Linked DNA regions of Saccharomyces cerevisiae S288C. The protein of the gene in region 1 interacts with the protein of each later gene in a biochemical or structural test. Each region holds a gene or a part of one and is shown in the gene's direction. Other genes may lie near its edges. The genes, in order: NFI1, SLX5, UBC9 and SAW1.

The links.
Region 2: of the proteins of NFI1 (region 1) and SLX5, one has a biochemical effect on the other in vitro, tested with the Saccharomyces cerevisiae proteins (one study listed by BioGRID).
Region 3: the proteins of NFI1 (region 1) and UBC9 form a complex in vitro, tested with the Saccharomyces cerevisiae proteins (11 studies listed by BioGRID, with this or other methods).
Region 4: of the proteins of NFI1 (region 1) and SAW1, one has a biochemical effect on the other in vitro, tested with the Saccharomyces cerevisiae proteins (one study listed by BioGRID).

Annotation. Positions count from the first base shown.
Region 1 is NC_001147.6:625,870-632,495, reverse strand, and holds NFI1 (SUMO ligase NFI1), read left to right. Parts: upstream 1-1,955; coding exon 1,956-4,136; downstream 4,137-6,626. Other genes in the region: mitochondrial 37S ribosomal protein mS26 PET123, read right to left, coding at 1-332; PUP1 (proteasome core particle subunit beta 2), read left to right, coding at 745-1,530; ISN1 (IMP 5'-nucleotidase), read left to right, coding at 4,516-5,868; SLP1 (Slp1p), read right to left, coding at 6,004-6,626. UniProt on the Saccharomyces cerevisiae protein: May act as an E3 ligase mediating SUMO/Smt3 attachment to septins. May be involved in chromosome maintenance.
Region 2 is NC_001136.10:427,565-433,416, forward strand, and holds SLX5 (SUMO-targeted ubiquitin ligase complex subunit SLX5), read left to right. Parts: upstream 1-1,502; coding exon 1,503-3,362; downstream 3,363-5,852. Other genes in the region: rRNA methyltransferase NOP1, read left to right, coding at 1-783; YDL012C (uncharacterized protein), read right to left, coding at 3,544-3,822, 3,909-3,953; glutathione-disulfide reductase GRX6, read left to right, coding at 4,766-5,461; YDL009C (uncharacterized protein), read right to left, coding at 5,361-5,684. UniProt on the Saccharomyces cerevisiae protein: Component of the SUMO-targeted ubiquitin ligase (STUbL) complex SLX5/SLX8 that mediates ubiquitination and subsequent desumoylation of sumoylated proteins and proteins containing SUMO-like domains for their degradation.
Region 3 is NC_001136.10:334,369-339,301, forward strand, and holds UBC9 (E2 SUMO-conjugating protein UBC9), read left to right. Parts: upstream 1-3,118; coding exon 3,119-3,156; intron 3,157-3,266; coding exon 3,267-3,702; downstream 3,703-4,933. Other genes in the region: COX9 (cytochrome c oxidase subunit VIIa), read right to left, coding at 1-28; isocitrate dehydrogenase (NADP(+)) IDP1, read left to right, coding at 467-1,753; PEX19 (Pex19p), read right to left, coding at 1,881-2,909; SYO1 (Syo1p), read right to left, coding at 3,904-4,933. UniProt on the Saccharomyces cerevisiae protein: E2 ubiquitin-like--protein ligase mediating SUMO/Smt3 attachment to septins and PCNA. Seems to be involved in degradation of S- (CLB5) and M-phase cyclins (CLB2).
Region 4 is NC_001133.9:91,147-95,972, forward strand, and holds SAW1 (DNA-binding protein SAW1), read left to right. Parts: upstream 1-3,540; coding exon 3,541-4,326; downstream 4,327-4,826. Other genes in the region: MYO4 (myosin 4), read right to left, coding at 1-1,124; FRT2 (Frt2p), read left to right, coding at 1,754-3,340; aminophospholipid-translocating P4-type ATPase DRS2, read right to left, coding at 4,484-4,826. UniProt on the Saccharomyces cerevisiae protein: Catalyzes 3'-non-homologous tail removal of RAD1/RAD10-dependent single-strand annealing recombination intermediates. Plays a key role in targeting RAD1/RAD10 complex to 3'-flap cleavage substrate in recombination.

The DNA of each region.
Region 1 (6,626 bases):
AATGCTTCAATCAAAAACTTTCTTCTTAATTCAGCTTTTTGTAATCTCACTTTCTGTGCTGAACCGTTACTGGATTTTATACTCTGGGGTTCAGCAACGGTCTTCGCAATGAGATTATCCACGTCGATAAAGTTTACCTTGGGTGATAATCTATGTGATCCTTTTGGATGTTTTACACCTTTGGCATACCCAATACCAAGAACACCCTTGGGCTTGGGTGATTTTACCTTATTAATAATATCAGTCTGCTTTGTAGTGGGGCTCTTCAGAATGGACCTTGTTGTGGGGAAAACCCCACTTTTAAAACCATACTTGGCCGCACCTTTCCCCATACTTCAATTATCCTTGTTATTATTGTTGTTGACAATCAGCAATGAAACTATTACCTAAATAATCCATATGTAGATTCTCTTCTTTATTCTACTCCTCTTGGGAATCACTTTCCTACTCGGCGACTTCAGGGTTCTACTTGCACTTCCGTTGCTAGTGATTTTTCATTAGGGCCAATATTTTTACCCTCATTACAAACCCTTTATTGTAAAAGCGGGTAAATTAGGGCCATGTTTCGTATTTTATAACCCGGCCGAGTGGCAAAATACCAAAAAGAAAGATGAAAAGGATAAACTAATAATTCAGCAGAAGGGTGATCAGTTGAGGTGGAGAGTTTGTATAGTAAAGCGTTAAATTTTTTCAGGAATACTCCCCCCACATAAACCTGATTGTAGAAAATAGAATTGAGTGAGCATGGCAGGTTTATCGTTCGACAATTATCAAAGAAATAATTTCTTAGCGGAAAACTCGCACACACAACCTAAGGCAACTTCCACGGGTACCACCATTGTAGGCGTAAAATTCAATAACGGAGTGGTGATTGCAGCAGATACAAGATCAACACAAGGTCCAATTGTCGCAGATAAGAATTGCGCAAAATTGCATAGAATTTCCCCCAAAATATGGTGTGCTGGTGCCGGTACCGCCGCCGATACTGAGGCAGTTACGCAGTTGATCGGGTCTAACATTGAATTACATTCCTTATATACCTCGAGAGAACCAAGAGTGGTCTCAGCTTTACAAATGCTAAAGCAGCACCTATTTAAGTACCAAGGTCATATTGGTGCTTATTTGATTGTTGCAGGTGTAGACCCTACGGGATCTCATTTGTTCTCCATTCATGCGCATGGTTCTACTGACGTGGGCTACTACCTTTCTCTAGGATCTGGTTCTCTAGCGGCAATGGCTGTGTTGGAATCACACTGGAAGCAAGACCTTACGAAGGAGGAAGCCATAAAGTTGGCCTCTGATGCAATCCAGGCTGGTATCTGGAATGATTTGGGGTCTGGTTCTAATGTGGATGTGTGTGTCATGGAAATAGGTAAAGATGCAGAATACTTGAGGAATTACTTGACTCCAAATGTTAGAGAAGAAAAGCAGAAAAGCTACAAATTCCCCAGGGGTACAACTGCTGTGCTGAAGGAGAGTATTGTCAATATTTGTGACATACAAGAAGAACAAGTCGATATAACGGCTTGAAAGTAAAACATAGAACTTAAGTATATTTTAGTATAGTAAATCATTGTTCAACAAAATGTGATAAAGGAAGTCAAAAACTAACCGCAAAACTATTTACATAATATATTTTCTTATAGCAGAGCTTATTATTTGTTCTTGATTCTTTTTCTTTTTTCTTTTTTTTATGCTTTGAAGTGTGTTAGTTGATTTTTGTTCGTTAATTTTCGTGTTAATTTATCCATCCATTTTAGCTATTTTATCACACAGAGCATAATATAACAAACACAGCTCAGTACCACACATATAACATAACACTAAAATTAACATTTCTATAGTCATCCGTTTGTTGGTCTTTAAAGGGCTATTACTGAGGCAAATATCAAGGAACTAAGAATACCACAAACGATACACTGATAATCAAGAAACGTATAAGGGAAAAGAGCACGATGGCAAGTGTCATGTCAAATAATAATAATAATAATAATAATAATAATGCCAGTTATATGTTTACGAACCCTTTGTCCAACACAGGTGGTGGACTCATAAATGAAATAAAAGATGCAATAAATGAAATGGAACAATTAAAGGTTCTAGAGTTAAAGCAAATATGCAAATCTCTGGATTTATCCATAACGGGCAAAAAGGCTGTCTTACAAGACCGAATAAAACAATTCTTAAGAAAATCCTGTGATATTGGACATATAGATCCGTGGAGGCCTAAGGCTATTAAGATTCTTATCGCGAAAGTAAGGATAAACTCATCATTACCAAAATACTCTACCCTTTGGGAAACTTTAAAGACGGGTGCGTTCAAGCATCCTGTAGCATCGGGGCAACTACCCGTGACAGCTCTCCAGAGTACTGCATTGCCACCTTATTCCCAACAACAGGCCTTAGCATATTCTTTTACCTCACCGTTTTACAAACCAATAGTACAAATACCGGATGCCAATAAAAAATTGAAGCAATCTGCAGGAAGAGGTTGTACAAAAATGAAGTTCAAGGTAAGTAAATCTAATCATGATCTTTTGAAATCTAACAAGAGTTATAAACTGTATTTGTTTTCTGGCTTTTCAATACCGTTTATATATGAAACTGTGGGCCATGAGGCAATAGATTTCCCGTATCCCTGTGAACTAGTGTTTAATGGCACCAAACTAGAGGACAACGTGAAAGGTTTAAAGAAACAAAATGGGACAGGTAATCCTGCAAATTTAACGCCTTATCTTAAAGTACCGACCGAGATGAATCACCTAGACTTACATTATCTCAATATTGATAAAGAGTACTCTATAAGTTGCTTTATAGTGGAAGTTTTTTCACCTGAAGCTCTTCTGGGGAAAATTCTGAAAAGGCCCAAAATTATCAAGCAAGCCACCACAGCATACATCAAAAGAACCTTGAATGAGCAAGATGATGACGATATTATTACAACCTCCACGGTGCTGAGTTTGCAATGTCCTATATCTTGTACAAGGATGAAGTATCCGGCGAAGACTGACCAATGTAAGCATATCCAATGTTTTGATGCTCTCTGGTTTCTTCACTCTCAGTCACAAGTCCCTACATGGCAGTGTCCGATTTGTCAACACCCTATAAAATTCGACCAGTTGAAGATTTCCGAATTTGTAGATAATATTATTCAAAATTGCAATGAAGATGTTGAGCAAGTTGAGATATCTGTTGATGGCTCATGGAAACCGATTCATAATAGTTCGGCCGTTATAACGGATACTGTTAACCAAAATCACAGTGTGAAAAACGAGAACCAAGGCACTGTCAAACAAGAGCAAGATTATGACAGCCGAAATGCCTTCGATACTAATTTGCGTAATGGTTCAAACCACAACGAACCCGAAATAATATCTCTGGATAGCTCAGATGATGAAGCCTTTATTCCGGCTAGTAAAAGCTTCCCAACGCACGTGAACCCCCGTAATGACCAATTAAGAGCAGATATATTTCCCTCAGAATCGGAAGGATCCAGTGACTACAACCCCAATCATACATCAACGCCGAAAGGTTCTCCAACTATGGACCAAGATAATTATCAAGATGCTTTTCAAATGAGGTCATTTTTGAACCAAGGCGCTACTACAAATATAAATGACACACCGACGAACAATAGCAGTATTAATTCTTTCGTTACGGCGACGAATGGTGACAGCAGAATATTCTACAATAGAGGGCCATCAACGCCACTATTACCGGCTGTTCTACAAAATTTGACTAATCAAACGGAAGCGCAGAGAAACCCCTACGGACCTAATTACAATACCACAGCTCAAGATCGTAATCTTTTGGGAATCGAAGGTGATTTGCCTCCAATCCCCCCTGTGGACCCAAATTCAGAAGCAGAAACTGAACTACCAACAAGGACCACATCGGCGGCACATCTCCCTCCATATATACACGTGAGCACCAGCGGCCATGGGGATGATGGAAAAATTAGGAAGAGAAGGCATTCTAATGTTTCTATCTACATTCCGAAGAATCCATACGCCACCCTTATGAAACGGAGACCACAGGCAAATCACGCCATAATGAATAAAACTCTGGCCCAAACTAATGACTTTAACACATCGGCTCAAGATAACTCGGAAGTGGTCGATTTAACATCAGATTGATTAACCGTCTTTTGATTTCTTTCCTTTCCGATTGTATTCTATTTTTATTTCTATTGTTTCATTTCGCTCTTAATATTGACTTCCACTTTTGGGCGTAAATGATGTTTTTGTTTTGATAAATATTACGACTTTTGTTATGTTTTTTTACTACTGTGGTTACTTCATGGGTGTAGTGTGCGAATCTGCAGTGATAGGTTTCTATAGATTTCTCTGTATACTTCCTGTATTACACTATAATATTTCATGTCCTTTCACTTCCCACGTTTAGCGGGACAGGCCGCCCTTAAATTAACAAAATTTAAAAGGTAAAGGAATGTACTAAGAAAAGAAAACTATTCAAAGAAAGTAACAAAAGATCGTGAGTTAACTTATAATAGCAATGTCCTCAAGATATAGAGTGGAATATCATTTGAAGAGCCACCGCAAGGATGAGTTTATAGATTGGGTAAAGGGGCTACTGGCCTCACCTTTTGTTCTACATGCCGTCTCTCATGAAGGTGACTACAATGACGACTTAGCAACAACTCAACGTGTAAGGTCGCAGTATGCTGATATCTTTAAAGACATTGAAGGGCTGATTAAAGATAAAATAGAATTTGACTCAAGAAACATGAGCCAAGACGAAATTGAAGATGGCGCCTCTTCTCAATCTCTGAATATATTAGGACAATCGCGTTTAAATCTTTTGGTTCCATCAATTGGAACATTCTTTACGGAACTTCCATTGGAACAAGCTTTTCTATGGGAAGACTCACAACGGGCCATTTCGGCGCGTAGAATGGTAGCACCCAGTTTTAATGATATCAGGCATATCCTGAATACTGCACAGATATTTCACTTTAAGAAACAGGAGAACTTACATAATGGTAAGGTTTTGAGATTAGTGACTTTTGATGGAGATGTGACGCTGTATGAAGATGGTGGCTCCCTGGTTTACACTAATCCTGTAATTCCTTATATTCTCAAGCTGTTGCGGTGCGGTATCAATGTGGGAATAGTCACTGCGGCCGGATATGATGAAGCTGGAACCTATGAGAACAGATTGAAAGGATTAATTGTTGCATTACATGATTCAACTGATATACCAGTTTCTCAAAAGCAGAATTTAACAATAATGGGTGGTGAGTCGAGTTACCTTTTCCGTTACTATGAAGACCCGGAGGAAGATAACTTTGGCTTTAGACAAATTGACAAAGAGGAATGGCTATTGCCTAGAATGAAGGCTTGGTCCCTCGAGGACGTGGAAAAGACTTTGGACTTTGCCGAGAGAACTCTTAACAGGTTAAGAAAAAGACTAAACCTACCTTCAGAGATTTCTATTATCCGTAAAGTCAGGGCAGTGGGTATCGTCCCAGGCGAACGGTACGATGAAGCTTCTAAAAGACAAGTTCCTGTTAAGCTTGATAGGGAACAACTGGAGGAAATAGTTTTAACCCTTCAAAACACTTTAGAGTCTTTTGCCCCATCTAGAAGAATTCAATTTAGTTGTTTTGATGGTGGTAGTGATGTCTGGTGTGATATTGGGGGGAAAGATCTTGGTGTTCGTTCATTGCAACAATTTTATAACCCTGAATCTCCTATCCAACCCTCTGAAACCTTACACGTAGGCGATCAGTTTGCACCGGTGGGATCAGCAAATGATTTTAAGGCAAGGCTAGCTGGATGTACCCTCTGGATAGCATCCCCTCAAGAAACAGTGAATTATCTTCATAGATTATTAGAAACTGATTAAAACAGTTTATGTAAAATGAAATTAGGACTATAAAAGTATATAGATATTTCCTATAGAAACACCTCATATATGGCGGTGGATTTTTTCATCTTGAATGAATTATGCTTAGAATTATGATTATGGGCCCTCTAGGATTCATCTGATTGCTTGTTGAACAATGTCTGCCTTTTCAATAGCGCCATTTTTGCTCTCTTCGAAATCTTCAAAGTAAAGCTCTCTCGTTATTAATAGATAGGATATCAACCCTACGAAGGCGAAAAATGACGCATAAACAATTCTTCTTTGAAAACTGACTTCTTTTTCCAATCTTTCCAAATGCAATAAATGACGGTTAGTAAATTTGTCATTCTCCAGTTTCTGTTCTTCTAATATACGTAAAGATTGATCTTTCAATTGATTGGCAAAGTTATTCAGCAGATCTAGATTACTCATCATTGTTTCGTTGAATATCGTGACAAGATGACTGAACTTTGCTTCGTGCGCCATTTCAAGTTGTTCAAACGATTTAGATAGCAGTTTGCTCTGTTCCTCAATGTAAGAAACTGTCAAACTAGAATTTGTCTCCAGTTGTGACAGCCTTTTCATGATGTTCTTAAAAATGGATTCTTCTGGAATTACAGGAACAGCCGAAGAAGAAGAAGAAGATATCATTTGCTTGGAAGGACAAAAGGATGCATTAAGCACCTTGAAAAATTCATCGAACTTCAAAGGGATGAGCTTTGAAGTACATGATAATGCACCAGCTAAGTCTGAGAGAT
Region 2 (5,852 bases), on another chromosome or scaffold:
GGCTCCAGAGGTGGTAGAGGTGGCGCTGCTGGTGGTGCCCGTGGTGGTGCCAAGGTCGTTATTGAACCACATAGACATGCCGGTGTTTACATTGCTAGAGGTAAAGAAGATTTGCTAGTTACCAAGAACATGGCCCCAGGTGAATCAGTTTATGGTGAAAAGAGAATCTCCGTTGAAGAACCATCTAAGGAAGATGGTGTCCCACCAACCAAGGTCGAATACCGTGTATGGAACCCATTCAGATCTAAGTTGGCTGCCGGTATTATGGGTGGTCTAGATGAATTATTTATTGCCCCAGGCAAGAAAGTTTTATATTTAGGTGCTGCTTCCGGTACTTCTGTTTCTCACGTTTCAGATGTTGTTGGTCCAGAAGGTGTTGTCTACGCCGTAGAATTTTCTCACAGACCAGGCAGAGAATTGATTTCTATGGCAAAGAAGAGACCTAATATCATCCCAATCATTGAAGATGCTAGACACCCACAAAAATACAGAATGTTGATTGGTATGGTTGACTGTGTCTTCGCAGATGTTGCCCAGCCTGATCAAGCTCGTATTATTGCATTGAACTCTCATATGTTCTTGAAGGACCAAGGTGGTGTTGTTATCTCCATTAAGGCTAACTGTATTGATTCTACTGTAGACGCGGAAACCGTTTTTGCTAGAGAAGTTCAAAAGTTACGTGAGGAACGTATTAAGCCATTAGAACAATTGACTTTAGAGCCATATGAAAGAGACCATTGTATCGTCGTTGGTAGATACATGAGAAGCGGTTTGAAGAAATAAGTTGAATAAAGGAAATTAGTCAAAAGTTTCTGGTAGCTTGCTCAATTATTAGCAGAATAATTGTTTCGTTTATATATATTTCCCCCATTCAGTTTCACTTCCTATTTGAAGTTTTTGTAACCCTCGACTTTGTAAAATAGATATTACTAAATTCTTTTAGAGAACAAAAGTATTGTACGTATTCGCCATATAAAAAAAAAAGAGTATATGTGGTGACTTTTTGGTCATTAATTGTTAAGAGCAAGCAAGTAGAAATCATAATCATATTTCGAGTTTTTTAAAGGTAGGAACAATATCGATAAGCTGTTCTCCAGTCTCGACACTGTTTGATGACCATATATCATTAATTCTTGTAACACTACATCATAGATTTCTCTTTATCCTTGGATTGAATCTGAAAAAATTTTGATAGAGTCTTTTGTTCAAAGTGTCACTTCTTCATCTGTCACTCTTACGTATTTTTTTTTTTTTGGCTTTGCCCATAAGAAACATCACTGTATACGCAAGGTCGCAATATTTACTATTTAACATGGATGAGAGGCAGTGTGCGACCAAAACGAAGACTTAATCATTAAGAAGAGCGTGTGTTGCGTTGATTGGTAATAACCAAGTCGAAATTTGCACTAGGAGCTTCAGTCTAGGAGTGAACTTTTGAAAAGATTTCAGTCCAAAAATTATTATTTGGAACGCGGAGCTCCTCTAATAGTCGAAATAATAGAATGCATAGCGATACTAACGGTCGAACAAAGAGCAATAATAGCCCATCAGACAATAATCCAAATGAGACAGTTATATTAATAGATAGTGATAAGGAAGAAGACGCTTCTATTCGCGAGGCTAACCTTCCTGTGAGGTTGTACCCAGACAGACGGGTAGGGAGACGACGTGATGCTTTAAATAGGTTTGTGAGGTCAGATTCAAGGAGCAGGAATTCTCAACGGACTCACATAACAGCAAGCTCTGAGCGCCCTGATTTTCAAGCTAATAACGACGATATCACTATAATACGAGAAGTTGGACGGTTTTTTGGAGACGATGGACCTATTGATCCTTCTGCACATTACGTCGATCTTGATCAGGAGCCAGGTTCTGAAACGTTAGAAACTCCAAGAACAATACAAGTAGATAACACAAACGGGTACTTGAATGATAATGGTAATAACAATGAAAGTGATGATGGCCTGACAATAGTTGAAGAGAGAACAACACGACCCAGAGTGACACTGAACCTGCCAGGCGGGGAGAGGCTTGAGGTAACTGCGACGACAACAGACATACCGATAAGAAGGTCATTTGAATTCCAAGAAGATCTAGGCGCATCACGCAGGCAGTTACTGAGAAGGAGTGCTACAAGAGCCCGTAATTTATTTGTGGACCGGTCTGATGAAAACGATGAAGATTGGACAGATGATACCCATAATTTACCAGAAGCTATTCAAAGGGCTCGTAGGGAGAGCCGTATGCGAATGAGCAGACGGATTGCAGAAAGACAACGTAGGGTACAACAGCAAAGGGTGTCCAGTGACGAAAATATAAGTACATCTATTAGGTTACAATCAATCAGGGAACGAATACAATCATATACGCCTGATATTCGTAGTGCTTTTCATCGTGCAGAGTCACTGCATGAATTCAGGTCTATTTTACAAAATGTTGCTCCAATTACTTTGCAAGAATGTGAAGAAGAACTAATGGCACTCTTCACTGAGTTCAGAAATCAACTGCTGCAGAATTGGGCCATTGATAGGGTCAGAAATACTCAGGAAGAGGCCTTGAGACTTCACCGAGAAGCATTGGAAAGACAAGAAAGAACGGCAGGAAGAGTTTTCCATCGTGGCACATTACGTGAATCAATCACAAACTATCTTAATTTCAATGGAGAGGATGGGTTCTTAAGTCGTTTGTGGAGTGGCCCAGCATTGAGCGATGCTGACGAGGAACGACACACTCAAAATATCATTGATATGATCCAAGAGAGAGAAGAACGAGAGCGGGATGTGGTCATGAAGAATCTAATGAACAAAACCAGAGCCCAACAGGAAGAATTCGAAGCTAGGGCAGCCAGCCTACCCGAAGGTTATAGCGCGTCATTTGATACTACGCCAAAAATGAAATTAGACATTACGAAAAATGGTAAAGAAGAAACCATCATTGTGACAGATGACGATTTAGCAAAAACACTCGAGGATATTCCTGTTTGTTGCTTGTGTGGCGCAGAATTGGGGGTCGGAATACCGGATGATTTTACTGGAATCAGTCAAAAGGATCGTGGTGTTTCATTTGAAGGGTTAGTGTCAAAATACAAATTCCACTGCCCCTACCAAACCCTAGCCAGACCATCAATGCTTGATAGAGATTTATCAAAACGAACGTTTATTGCATCGTGTGGTCATGCATTTTGTGGTAGGTGTTTCGCCAGGATTGACAATGCAAAAAAAAAATCTAAGATGCCCAAAAAGAAACTAGCTCAACTAAAGGGTTCGGCTCATCCGGATAATTATGGCCCCAAATTATGTCCCGCAGATTCTTGTAAGAAGCTTATTCGTTCAAGAGGCAGGTTGAAGGAGGTTTACTTCTAGCACGCGGTTTAATTTTTATAAGGGCATTTTCGAACTTATCATCATTATATATTATCTACTTGCATGAACACTTTAATCACGCTTATTTAATTAAGATTAAAAGATCAGAGGTGCAATTGTGCTTTGTTTTATATAGTGGATTTGTGTGAAAGGGTTTGCTCCCACAAGATATGGAGATACTCTAAAACAGCATATCCAAAGTACAGCATAAACATAAACCCGCTAGACAGCCCGCTAGACAGTCTTCATTTCCAGAACTGGCCGGTTGTTGTTGGACATAAATGGGCTGCTGTGGGTGTTGTTGGTAATATTGGGGCTGCTGTTGCTGATAGTATTGAGGTTGTTGCTGATACTGCTGCTGCTGCTGTTGAGGTGGATAATAGTTCTGTTGGCTTTGCGATGGAGCGTAACCTCTAGACGCCGTTTCATATCCTGGTGGTGGAGCGCTAGGACGAGAATACTGAATCGAAAGTGATGTAATGAAAATACAAGGGCTCGTTAGTACGATGTGATCTTCTAAAGGCAAAACTTGTAAAATTAACGTACGCTTTGTTTGGAGGCAGAGTTTCCGTAATAATCTTGAGCTGACATGAGATGTGTATTTGCTTGGTTTATGGGCTATTGTATGGGTTTGTCTTAATATCCTTTTCGGTTGCGTAAATACTTTTTATATTTCAATATTTCACGATGCCGCTGATAGCATCGTTTAATACGAAAACTTCGAGCCATTTACCAAGAAATATTCTGGACTAGGTGGAAGGAAGCTTCGAGAACTCACCGTGGCTATTCAAGGCTGATGGACATATGTACTGGGCTGAGCTTAAGATCTCCCATTACTGCTCCGTGGGGTTTTATGTGAAATGTGGCGTTTCAGCAGTTTTTAGTTGGCTAATTTCCTAAAAGTAGTAATTAGTTTCTTATGATGGATTTAATGGCGTAGTTCATCCGCGTTTAATTTAACTAGAGGATAATCTACTTGCAGCATGAATGAAAATAGTAAGCCAGTAAGGATGCACTGACAGACTCAGCTACCGATTAGTGTTGTTGACTTTTCCGCAAGATCCTTTTCTCCCTCTTTGGACCTAGTCATCCCTCCACACAAGATTCGCTCTTAAGTAGTGGCGCAGGCTGTTCGCTTTTAAGCATAGTGCTTAATGTCGAAGGCTTTATAGATCCCAAATACTACGCCTTGAGAAATTGAATGCACTAGCAGTTAGTTAACTTTCTGGAACGCGCATGACGCGTCCCGGGGCGCCTGAGGCGGAGCGTTCGCGAAATCGGGAAAACATTATACTGGGAAAGATCACTATCTATTCTCTAAATGAACTTTTAAGCAAATTATCGTAAGATAGAAAAGACGAAACCTTAGCAACCTAGCGGTTTAATATAGAAACAATTTTATTATGATACCTTCCAATAAGAGAAATGCTAGAATTTTAAGCATTACAACGCTATTATTGTTGTTAGTGTTTTTCGTAGCGCAAAATGCGAACTTCTTGACGGTAGAGATAAAAGAGGAAACTTCTAAAGCATTTAGTACTAATATGGACAATATGGCTGGAGGATCTTCCAGGGAATATGCTGCTATGCCGACTTCTACCACGAATAAGGGGAGCTCTGAAGTAGACGAAGAAATTAATGAAATAAAACAGAAGGTGGGACTCCAACAGCCCATAGCATCGGTTGATGATAGTTTGTCGGCCATTAAAAACGATAAAGGGTCGCGAATAACCAAAGCTTTTAATGTTCAAAAAGAATACTCCCTCATACTAGACTTGTCTCCGATTATAATATTTAGTAAAAGCACCTGTTCATATAGCAAGGGCATGAAGGAACTGCTTGAAAATGAGTATCAGTTTATCCCAAACTACTATATTATAGAACTTGACAAACATGGACATGGGGAAGAGCTGCAAGAATATATCAAGTTGGTGACCGGTAGAGGAACTGTTCCAAACCTTTTGGTTAATGGAGTATCAAGAGGAGGTAATGAAGAAATCAAGAAACTGCACACTCAAGGGAAACTTTTAGAATCATTACAAGTCTGGAGTGATGGTAAATTCTCGGTTGAGCAACGTGAAAAACCTTCCAATAATTGAAATTGTTACAAAAAGGAAAGAAGAAAAAATTAAGAATAAATATATAAATAAAGAGGTCGTGAATGATTAGGTCGTGAAATGCAGTGTAGTTGGAAAGGCGTAGTTTTCCTAGCACAAGGCGTTTCGGAGTTGGAATAAAGAAGCTATCACCAACGAAGAAGCTTTTTTGTCCAAGACATCTCTTAAAAGGGTTGTGAAAACATAAAACGCTTAATGCCTTCATATATACATATATAAGTTTATGGTTTCGATGTTTACAATAACTTCTATCCTTTGCTGGTCCATGCACTTCACCTTGGTAAGTTATGCAACGCACTTTTGTCTACGCCTGCATTCGATATAAAGGGTAAGCTGCCGAGATAACTTTTGTATCTTCCGTGTCTGCAGATAA
Region 3 (4,933 bases), on another chromosome or scaffold:
TCGTACCAGTAATTGGAGCAATAGTCATGTCTGTGTAAGTCGCTTGTAGTTAGTAGTTTGCAAATATCTTGCTTGCTCTAATTCTCGGTCCTAATTTTCCCTGAAGATAAGAGTCTCTTTCATCGATTCTTTTAATACCACAGGAACAAAGCGGGCATCGTGGTAGCGGGCCAATCAGGTTGCAGTAAATGAAGAGATATAGAGGAGGACTCTGCTAAAGACCATAACAAGGGTCTGCAATGATCTTGGACTAAATAAAGGTGTCTTACAATCCAAAAGAGCTTGAATCATTCCTTTTATGAGCTAAATAGCACCGTTTGCACCTTCTGATAACGCTTTACGGGTCACGCGCGGATTTTGACTCACATAATTCCACTTGCCCATATAAAGAGGGACTCATATGATCTTATGAAATCTTCCTTCAAGCAATTGTGAGACAACAGACGCACAAGGAAGATCGCCCAGCATGAGTATGTTATCTAGAAGATTATTTTCCACCTCTCGCCTTGCTGCTTTCAGTAAGATTAAGGTCAAACAACCCGTTGTCGAGTTGGACGGTGATGAAATGACCCGTATCATTTGGGATAAGATCAAGAAGAAATTGATTCTACCCTACTTGGACGTAGATTTGAAGTACTACGACTTATCTGTCGAATCTCGTGACGCCACCTCCGACAAGATTACTCAGGATGCTGCTGAGGCGATCAAGAAGTATGGTGTTGGTATCAAATGTGCCACCATCACTCCTGATGAAGCTCGTGTGAAGGAATTCAACCTGCACAAGATGTGGAAATCTCCTAATGGTACCATCAGAAACATTCTCGGCGGTACAGTGTTCAGAGAGCCCATTGTGATTCCTAGAATTCCTAGACTGGTCCCACGTTGGGAAAAACCAATCATTATTGGAAGACACGCCCACGGTGATCAATATAAAGCTACGGACACACTGATCCCAGGCCCAGGATCTTTGGAACTGGTCTACAAGCCATCCGACCCTACGACTGCTCAACCACAAACTTTGAAAGTGTATGACTACAAGGGCAGTGGTGTGGCCATGGCCATGTACAATACTGACGAATCCATCGAAGGGTTTGCTCATTCGTCTTTCAAGCTGGCCATTGACAAAAAGCTAAATCTTTTCTTGTCAACCAAGAACACTATTTTGAAGAAATATGACGGTCGGTTCAAAGACATTTTCCAAGAAGTTTATGAAGCTCAATATAAATCCAAATTCGAACAACTAGGGATCCACTATGAACACCGTTTAATTGATGATATGGTCGCTCAAATGATAAAATCTAAAGGTGGCTTTATCATGGCGCTAAAGAACTATGACGGTGATGTCCAATCTGACATCGTCGCTCAAGGATTTGGCTCCTTAGGTTTGATGACTTCTATCTTAGTTACACCAGACGGTAAAACTTTCGAAAGTGAAGCTGCTCATGGTACCGTGACAAGACATTATAGAAAGTACCAAAAGGGTGAAGAAACTTCTACAAACTCCATTGCATCCATTTTCGCGTGGTCGAGAGGTCTATTGAAGAGAGGTGAATTGGACAATACTCCTGCTTTGTGTAAATTTGCCAATATTTTGGAATCCGCCACTTTGAACACAGTTCAGCAAGACGGTATCATGACGAAGGACTTGGCTTTGGCTTGCGGTAACAACGAAAGATCTGCTTATGTTACCACAGAAGAATTTTTGGATGCCGTTGAAAAAAGACTACAAAAAGAAATCAAGTCGATCGAGTAATCGAATTTACGTAGCCCAATCTACCACTTTTTTTTTTCATTTTTTAAAGTGTTATACTTAGTTATGCTCTAGGATAATGAACTACTTTTTTTTTTTTTTTTTTACTGTTATCATAAATATATATACCTTATTGTTGTTTGCAACCGTCGGTTAATTCCTTATCAAGGTTCCCCAAGTTCGGATCATTACCATCAATTTCCAACATTTTCATGAGTTCTTCTTCTTCATTACCGTGTTTTAGGGGGCTGTTCGCACTTCTAATAGGGCTATCACCAAGCTGTTCTAATTCGTCCAAAAGTTCAGTAACACGATCTTTATGCTTTAGCTCGTCATAATCTTTCAATTCATAAATATTTACAATTTCGTCTACGATATTAAATTGCCTCTTGTAGGTGCCTATCTTTTCCTTATGCTCTTCATTTTCACCGTTTTCTTGAAACCAAACACCGAACTCACTACGCATTTCTTTCATAGGCTCATATAATACTTCTTTTGACGTCATTTGATCAAGTATTTTTGTTATTGCGTCGTCCATCTCCCCATCTTTTAGATCAAATTGATTTTCTGCACTTTCTTTTCCACCAGATGCTACCATTTGATCTAATAATTGTGACAATATATCATCAATATTATTATTTTGGCCACTGCGTTGAGATTCCTTGGTTTCTTCGGCTAGGGATGTATCAACTTTATTACCATTTTCCTTTAACCTGTCTAGCGTATTGGAAACAATGTTTTTAAATCCCGGATTGCTACCATTCACGGTCCCTTTATCAGTGCTGTTACTTTTCAAACTACTACATCCTTGCTCCATCTGTTGATGAGGTACTTTAGCTGCCTCTTCTAGAGCACTAATCAGTTTATTAAAATCTTCTGTCTTCACATTATTCTCGTTACCGTTATTTTTCATCAAATTTGCGAACTCATTTTGCAAATCTACCATCATTTCTTTCAATTCTGGGTCCTCTTCAGATTCATTAGCTACCTGTACGCCATCACTGTCCTTACTTTCGGCATTCTTCTCTTTGTTTTCACTATCGTTGTACACAGAACCCTTCGCTTGCACATCATCGGGCTCTGCTTCATCCAGTTTAGTGGGATCTTCATCTAAAAGGTCATCCAAATCATCAAAATTATCGTACTCGTTTTCATTCATTACTTCGTGTTGTATGTTTGGCATTTCTTCTTTCCGTCAATACTTCGGTTCCCACAATTTGTAATTCTTTCTTCACTTTATATCTCTCAGAAACCGCGTTTAACATCTGGAAATTAAAAATTATTCCTGTCTCCATAACAAACATTTAAAAAAAGAAGAGAAATTTAGCATAGGATAAGCACACACTGGCACCATTTTTTGGAAGCAATATGAGTAGTTTGTGTCTACAGCGTCTTCAGGAAGAAAGGTAAGTAGTAGTTTTCCTCCTTTTATGCTTACATTCTGTAGGCATACACAATTTCATCCAGCGGTATACTAACAAATCGATGAACTTAACTTGTTTTACTTGAATAACAGAAAAAAATGGAGAAAGGATCATCCATTTGGATTTTATGCCAAACCAGTTAAGAAAGCTGATGGGTCCATGGATTTACAGAAATGGGAAGCTGGTATCCCAGGCAAAGAAGGTACAAACTGGGCGGGTGGTGTGTACCCAATTACAGTCGAATATCCAAATGAATATCCTTCAAAACCTCCAAAGGTTAAATTTCCAGCCGGATTTTATCATCCAAACGTGTATCCAAGTGGCACAATATGTTTAAGTATTTTAAATGAAGATCAAGATTGGAGACCCGCCATCACGTTAAAACAAATTGTTCTTGGGGTTCAGGATCTTTTAGACTCTCCAAATCCAAATTCCCCTGCTCAAGAGCCTGCATGGAGATCATTTTCAAGAAATAAGGCGGAATATGACAAGAAAGTTTTGCTTCAAGCTAAACAGTACTCTAAATAGAGGGAATCCATCTTTCCCATTCTTCCTCCTTTTGTACTTTATTTAACTAATGTCGTTGTGTAACAAAAATAGAGCAAAATAACATTATTTACAAATTCTCAAAAATAATTTTTTGCTCTTTGTTTCTTATGCTAAGTAAATAGAAAGATATTTTTTGTACCATTTTCTATAAGTATGGCAACTATATACACTTTAATAAATCTATTGGTTAGTAGAATTTTCATTCATTTTGTAGTGAATGAAACTATCCAACGTAGTAAAGCAATCATGGCATCTTTCTTTTAGTTCGGGATTTTTGTTTTTATCAACCATTTTGAATTGCTGCCTCAAATTTGGTACAACTTGGTCTTTTAGAATAGATAAAAATCCACCCCTTACAAATATTGGTTCATTATAGTCGTAAGAGGCATCCCCGTAAATTTGGAAAAGCGAATTTGTCATTTCTATCAAAATTTCAGGGCGAACATTCAACTGTGTTAAAGTTTGTATGAAGAACTGCCCAATCTCCTTATTTGCATCAATTTGTCCCTGAATCATAGCATATGTGCTTAGTACATTAATACATTTTTGTTGTAACTCAAGGTCATTATTATTTTGGAACTCTTCAATAATTCCCCTAGCGAATCCTGAATTGTTCAGCATTTGGACATTGATCAATGCTCGATTCTCACTTTCAAACGCTCCATCAGGAAAGATGAGTTTCAGAAGCGCCCAAATACAGCCCATTCTTCCTATTTTAATACTCAAATCATCTTGGCTGTCCAACTGTGTAACATAACTCCATAAGGTGGTTAACAACTCTCCAGAGAGCTCTGTTAGAGATAGAGACACAAAGAGCCAGATCAGATTGTTCCATCCGATCAATATTCGCGAGGTGAAGGTATCTTTCAAAATCATGAAAACGTGAGGTAAGAAATTTGTTAAGGTATTGATTAGCTCCTCTGGAATTGCTACTTCCTGTGATTCTGGTGATTCATATTTGGATGCAACTATCTCAATGATTGCGGTGATAAGATCAATTGCTATTTCAATGCTTTGCAATTTTATCATGGATTCGTTACGTTTCGCATTGTAATCCTTGATCTTAGTTATAACCTTACTGCTTTCATCTTTACTAGTAGCAGGTCCAATTTCTACAGGGTTATTAATGTCATTAACTAACTGTACTGGATCAATGTTATTAATGGAATGACATACAGAGTGGATCATTTTGTTACATTGATCATAAGTT
Region 4 (4,826 bases), on another chromosome or scaffold:
GGATCAATACCCAATAATTCACATGCGATTTGCAGGTTTTGCTCTTCCGATGATAGTGATGCGTCGTTTCTAGTCATTTTCATCTCGATATTACCTATATGTAGCAAGCCTGCAAGAATTTTGAAAATTCCAAGCTGAGTCTCGTGGTTTATACCTACTAATGACAGGGCATCAGTGGTTATCTTGTATTCTCGAGCTTCATCTATACCAGCTATGTTCGGCTGTCCACCTTGGTTAGTATAATGGTAGTCCTTGGGAGATGACAAATGCAGTTCTTGTTTTACCGGTTCTGGCAATCCTTCCAAAATTTGGTAAAAAATATGGTAATTTCTTTCTGTCTCTGGCTGATAAACTAACCTGGATTTTTCCAAGAGATAGGTTCTAATTTTGGACCCCCTGATGGTAGTATTCTCATCAAATAAAATTTGCAGATATTTGCCGAAACGAGAGGAATTATCATTTCTGGTAGTTTTGGCGTTACCAAAGGCTTCCATGATCGGGTTAGTAGCTAAAATTTGGCTCTCGATTTGAGACATTTCCACTTCCCCTTCACGATTGTTGCTTTCTTGGACTGAGGCAAAGTATCTCATAATGTATTTAGCAGAGACGGTCTTACCAGCACCGGATTCACCACTGACTACAACAGTCTGGTTAGCCTTTTCATGGACCATGAACCTGTACGCCTCCTCTGCTATGGCAAAAAGGTGCGGCTCCAGCTCATCTTTACGCTTACTAGAATAATTCTGTATCATCTCGCGAGAGTACAAATGGTCGACTTTATCAAAGGGATTAGCGGCAATAAGGACAATACCAGAGTAAGTATATATCTGTCCATTCATGTATCTTTTTTTTATGGCATGCAGCACTGCCGGTTCGTTCAGATATGATAGGGTGGTTAAGTCATCAGTAGACTCTAAAATAGGTGGGTTTCGTAGTACAGGTAGCGTGGGATGATCATCATCATTTTCGAAGCTATTTGTTTCAATGGATACAGTTTCTCCATCCTCCAATTTCAACTCTAAGTGGAACGTTCCTTCAAAGAAGTCATTCTTGGTGACTTCGCCGCCTATCCAGCCTTGTTCTTTGTGAGGGTACCAACACTTAGTTCCTACTTCAAATGACATGCGGGAGAACTGGTTATAGGATTTTTTTTGTTTTTTTGTGTTTTAGAATTAGATTGAATTATAAAAAGAAGAACAAAAGGGTATCGTATTGAAAATAAATTGTCTCGCCAAACTGGTAACAATGTTTTCAGCTAGAACAATAAGAAAAGAAGAGAAGGTAAAAAAAAAGGTGATAACTCCGTAGGAATTGAGGAATTGAGTATGCAGAATCAGAATAAAGGCTGACTTTCAAAAAAAGGTTGTATTACAATTGCAGGTTTTCGATAAAAGAGACCCTATTCTCATCTACTACTGCTAAACTTCGAGATATTTTCGAATTTTTCAGTCTTTTCTTTTTTTTTTTTCGCATTAGTTCAGAACCCTAAAGAATGGTAAACATTCTATGGATAACCCGGAGAGTGAGTTTCTTAAAGACCTAGTTTTATTTTAAGGGTTTTAACTCAATCTTGATGTTTTCATTGTGTACCCTAAAGAAAGTTTAAGAATAGCCCTAACTGTTACCTTTTGAAATAAAATAAGGGGAAGGTCAAAAAGCTATTGTTCTATTGTTATGAAACATTGTCTCAAAGAGTAAGAATAACACAAATTGATGGCAGTTTTTTACGTAGTCCAGTAGTTGTCCAGGTACAATGCAAAATGCTCAAATAAAGAGCTCTTCTAAAGGCAGCGGAATAGATGGTACAGATCGCAATAGCAAAGATGGTGTAGAAAAGAGACCCCTGGAAGATGTAAAGCAAATGATTGACGCTGGAACACCAGATGTTGGCCACAAATCTACTGTTGAAACTAAGCCAAACGTTGGATGGCAAGCCTCTCACAGTAATTTGGCTGCATTACACGAAAAAGAGCAGAAATATGAAATGGAGCACCATCATGCTCGTCATAAACTGCATCGTCAAGTTATTCCGGATTACACGTCTGCCTCGACCGCAATGTTCAGCGATTGTATGTTCAACGCAGCACCAGATAAAGTACGAAGTCTCAGTACGATGAAGTCTTCTGGACTCTCGCCAAAACACCCATTTAACGTAGTCGCCACCTTTAAAGGACCATTCCCGCAGCATAGTGTAGAATCAAAGCCTCTCGATGGTGGATACTCTGCCAAAGACCATTTTCCCTCATTTAAGATGTTGCAAGCCCAGCAGCACCCAGCCCATCGCCATTACAAAGACAACGACAAGTACGGTCTTAAATCACCTTCCCGGTCCTTCGTGAAGGACAAGAAAAGGTTGGTTCACCGGTTTTTGAAATCCATGGAGCCTTCTTCGTCTGGGCAATCTAAGGATTCGTCTGCACTGGCGCCGGCTTTCGATCCAATATTGCCCAATGTTATATCTAAGCCTTCCAAGCGACCCACACATCATTCGCATTCATCAGACGGGAGTTCTAGCACGCAGACAGATATATCGTTACAGAGCTTGCTTTACCATGATCTTGAAAGCTCACCAAAGAAACATGTTTCGCCCTCAAGACCGCCCTCTGTAGCTTCCGAATCCTCTCCTGCCGTTGCTAATCCCATTGGGCTTTCGCCAAAAGACGCCTGCAATGCATCGTTTTCGCAGTCGTCCTCATCTTCGTTGTCTTCTTCTTCATCGTCTTCATCATCGACGTCATTCTCACAGTCAGTGGCTGTTGATCCTCTTGAACCTCCTGGAAATATCACATATAGTAGTTCGAATCTTTCGCTAAATTCAGATGAATTAGACTACTATCAGCGTCATATCGGATTGCAGTTACAGCAGACAGAAGCTTTACTAAAGCACAGTTTGAAAGATGAGGTTCTGAAAGATGAAAATGACCTTGTTAAAAACATTGCAAATTTTGACAAGATCGTTAAAGAGCTAAGGGACTTAAGATCCAGGACCATTGGATGGAAAGAGCTTGTTGAAGAGGATTATTTAATGAATTTGAAACAGGATTTTGACAAGGAAAACCCCGAATCATTTGAGGCACGTTTGAGTGATACAATAAATACAAACGTGGCAAAATTACAAGATTTAGAGAAAAGAATGGCTTCTTGCAAAGACAGGTTGGCCTCTAGGAAGGAAGTAATGAGGAAAATGGAAAGTTTATTGTCTTTGGAGAATTCCTTAATGATATCCAAAAAAAATGTAACATTCGCATCTAAATACCGCAACGAGGCCCTTGATATTGTCTTTTTAATTATCATCATCGTCATATGCTATACCTTCAAGCATCTAGTATCGCATAAATAAAAAATAGTATTTGTATATCAAAAAATGATCCTGTGATTTTTTCATATGTAACGTATAAATGTAAAAATGTGCTTCTTCTGGTATTTTTAATCAAGTGGAAAGATGAGTGGAAAAAAGGGCAATGAAATAGAAAAGGACAGGCCTGAAAGGGAAGAATACAAGAAGATTGAGTATATTGGACTTCACAGTAACCGTGAAAAATGGCACCAAGTATAGCAACGGTAAAGATAGCCAGGGACATGGTTTTGCCATTACGTATATTTGTCAATAGAAAGCAGATCCTTCAAACCAATGATAAGACTAGCAATAAGTCGAATGCCACTATATTTGAAGCACCATTATTATCAAATAACTCCATAATCTGCTTAAAATCACCAAATACAAGAATATATTTATCGCAACAAGATAAGAAGAATCTTTGTGACGAGATCAAGGAGGACCTGTTATTGATTGTTTACGAACTAGCGTCCCCGGAAATCATCAGTTCCGTACTCAGCAAAATAAGAGTTGGTCATTCTACTGATTTCCAAATCAACGTTCTGCCCAAACTTTTTGCAGGTGCCGATACGGATAATGCGGTAACTTCTCACATCCAGTCTGTGACAAGGCTGGCTAAATTCAAATACAAGTTGCACTACAAACATAAGTGGGAGCTCGACATATTCATCAACAGCATTAAGAAGATCGCCAATTTAAGGCACTATTTGATGTTTCAAACATTAACATTAAACGGTTTCTCATTAAATGCAGGACCCAAAACGTTATTAGCTAGGAAAATAGAAAAACAGCCCCAGGTACCTAATTTGTTAATAGAAAATGGGGACGCTGATGCCCTGGATACACCGGTGGAAGAGGATATAAAACCTGTAATAGAATTTATGTACAAGCCTGTTATTAATTTAGGTGAAATTATTGATGTACATGTGTTGCATAGGCCTAGAAGACATAAGGTACGTACCCAGTCGAAGCAACCCCAGGAGGAATGAAAAACCGATAACAAAGTGATGGCTTAATATTATAACTTCTATATAACGGATATATTTTATGGTAAATGTACATATTTCAGTAATGGTAATAATGACTTTTCTTTTTATCTTATTTTTATTTTTGTATTTTTTGTCTTCTGCTCTTTGTTTCTGTGCCTCATATATCAAATGAAATATCATCTCTCGAAGAACTGAATCTATTTGAATTTTGATTACCATCAGCAAATGGATTTTCAATGAACGGTTCTGCACTTTCAAAGTCGTTACTTCCCAGTCCATTATTGTCATTAAAGGGGTTCGCCGAAGCATCTTGTAATTCACCGTACTTACCTCTCTTTTGAGTAGTATCATACATTCTGACAATTTTTTCTTGCCCACCCTCTTCAGCCTGTGAAAAGGCAAATCCTCTTTGTTTTTTCATTCTTTGCACTTGCCTCACCTTCCTGATGGCATTTTGAAATTGCTGAACGTGCGGCCTAGAGTCGCTGATATTGTATTTC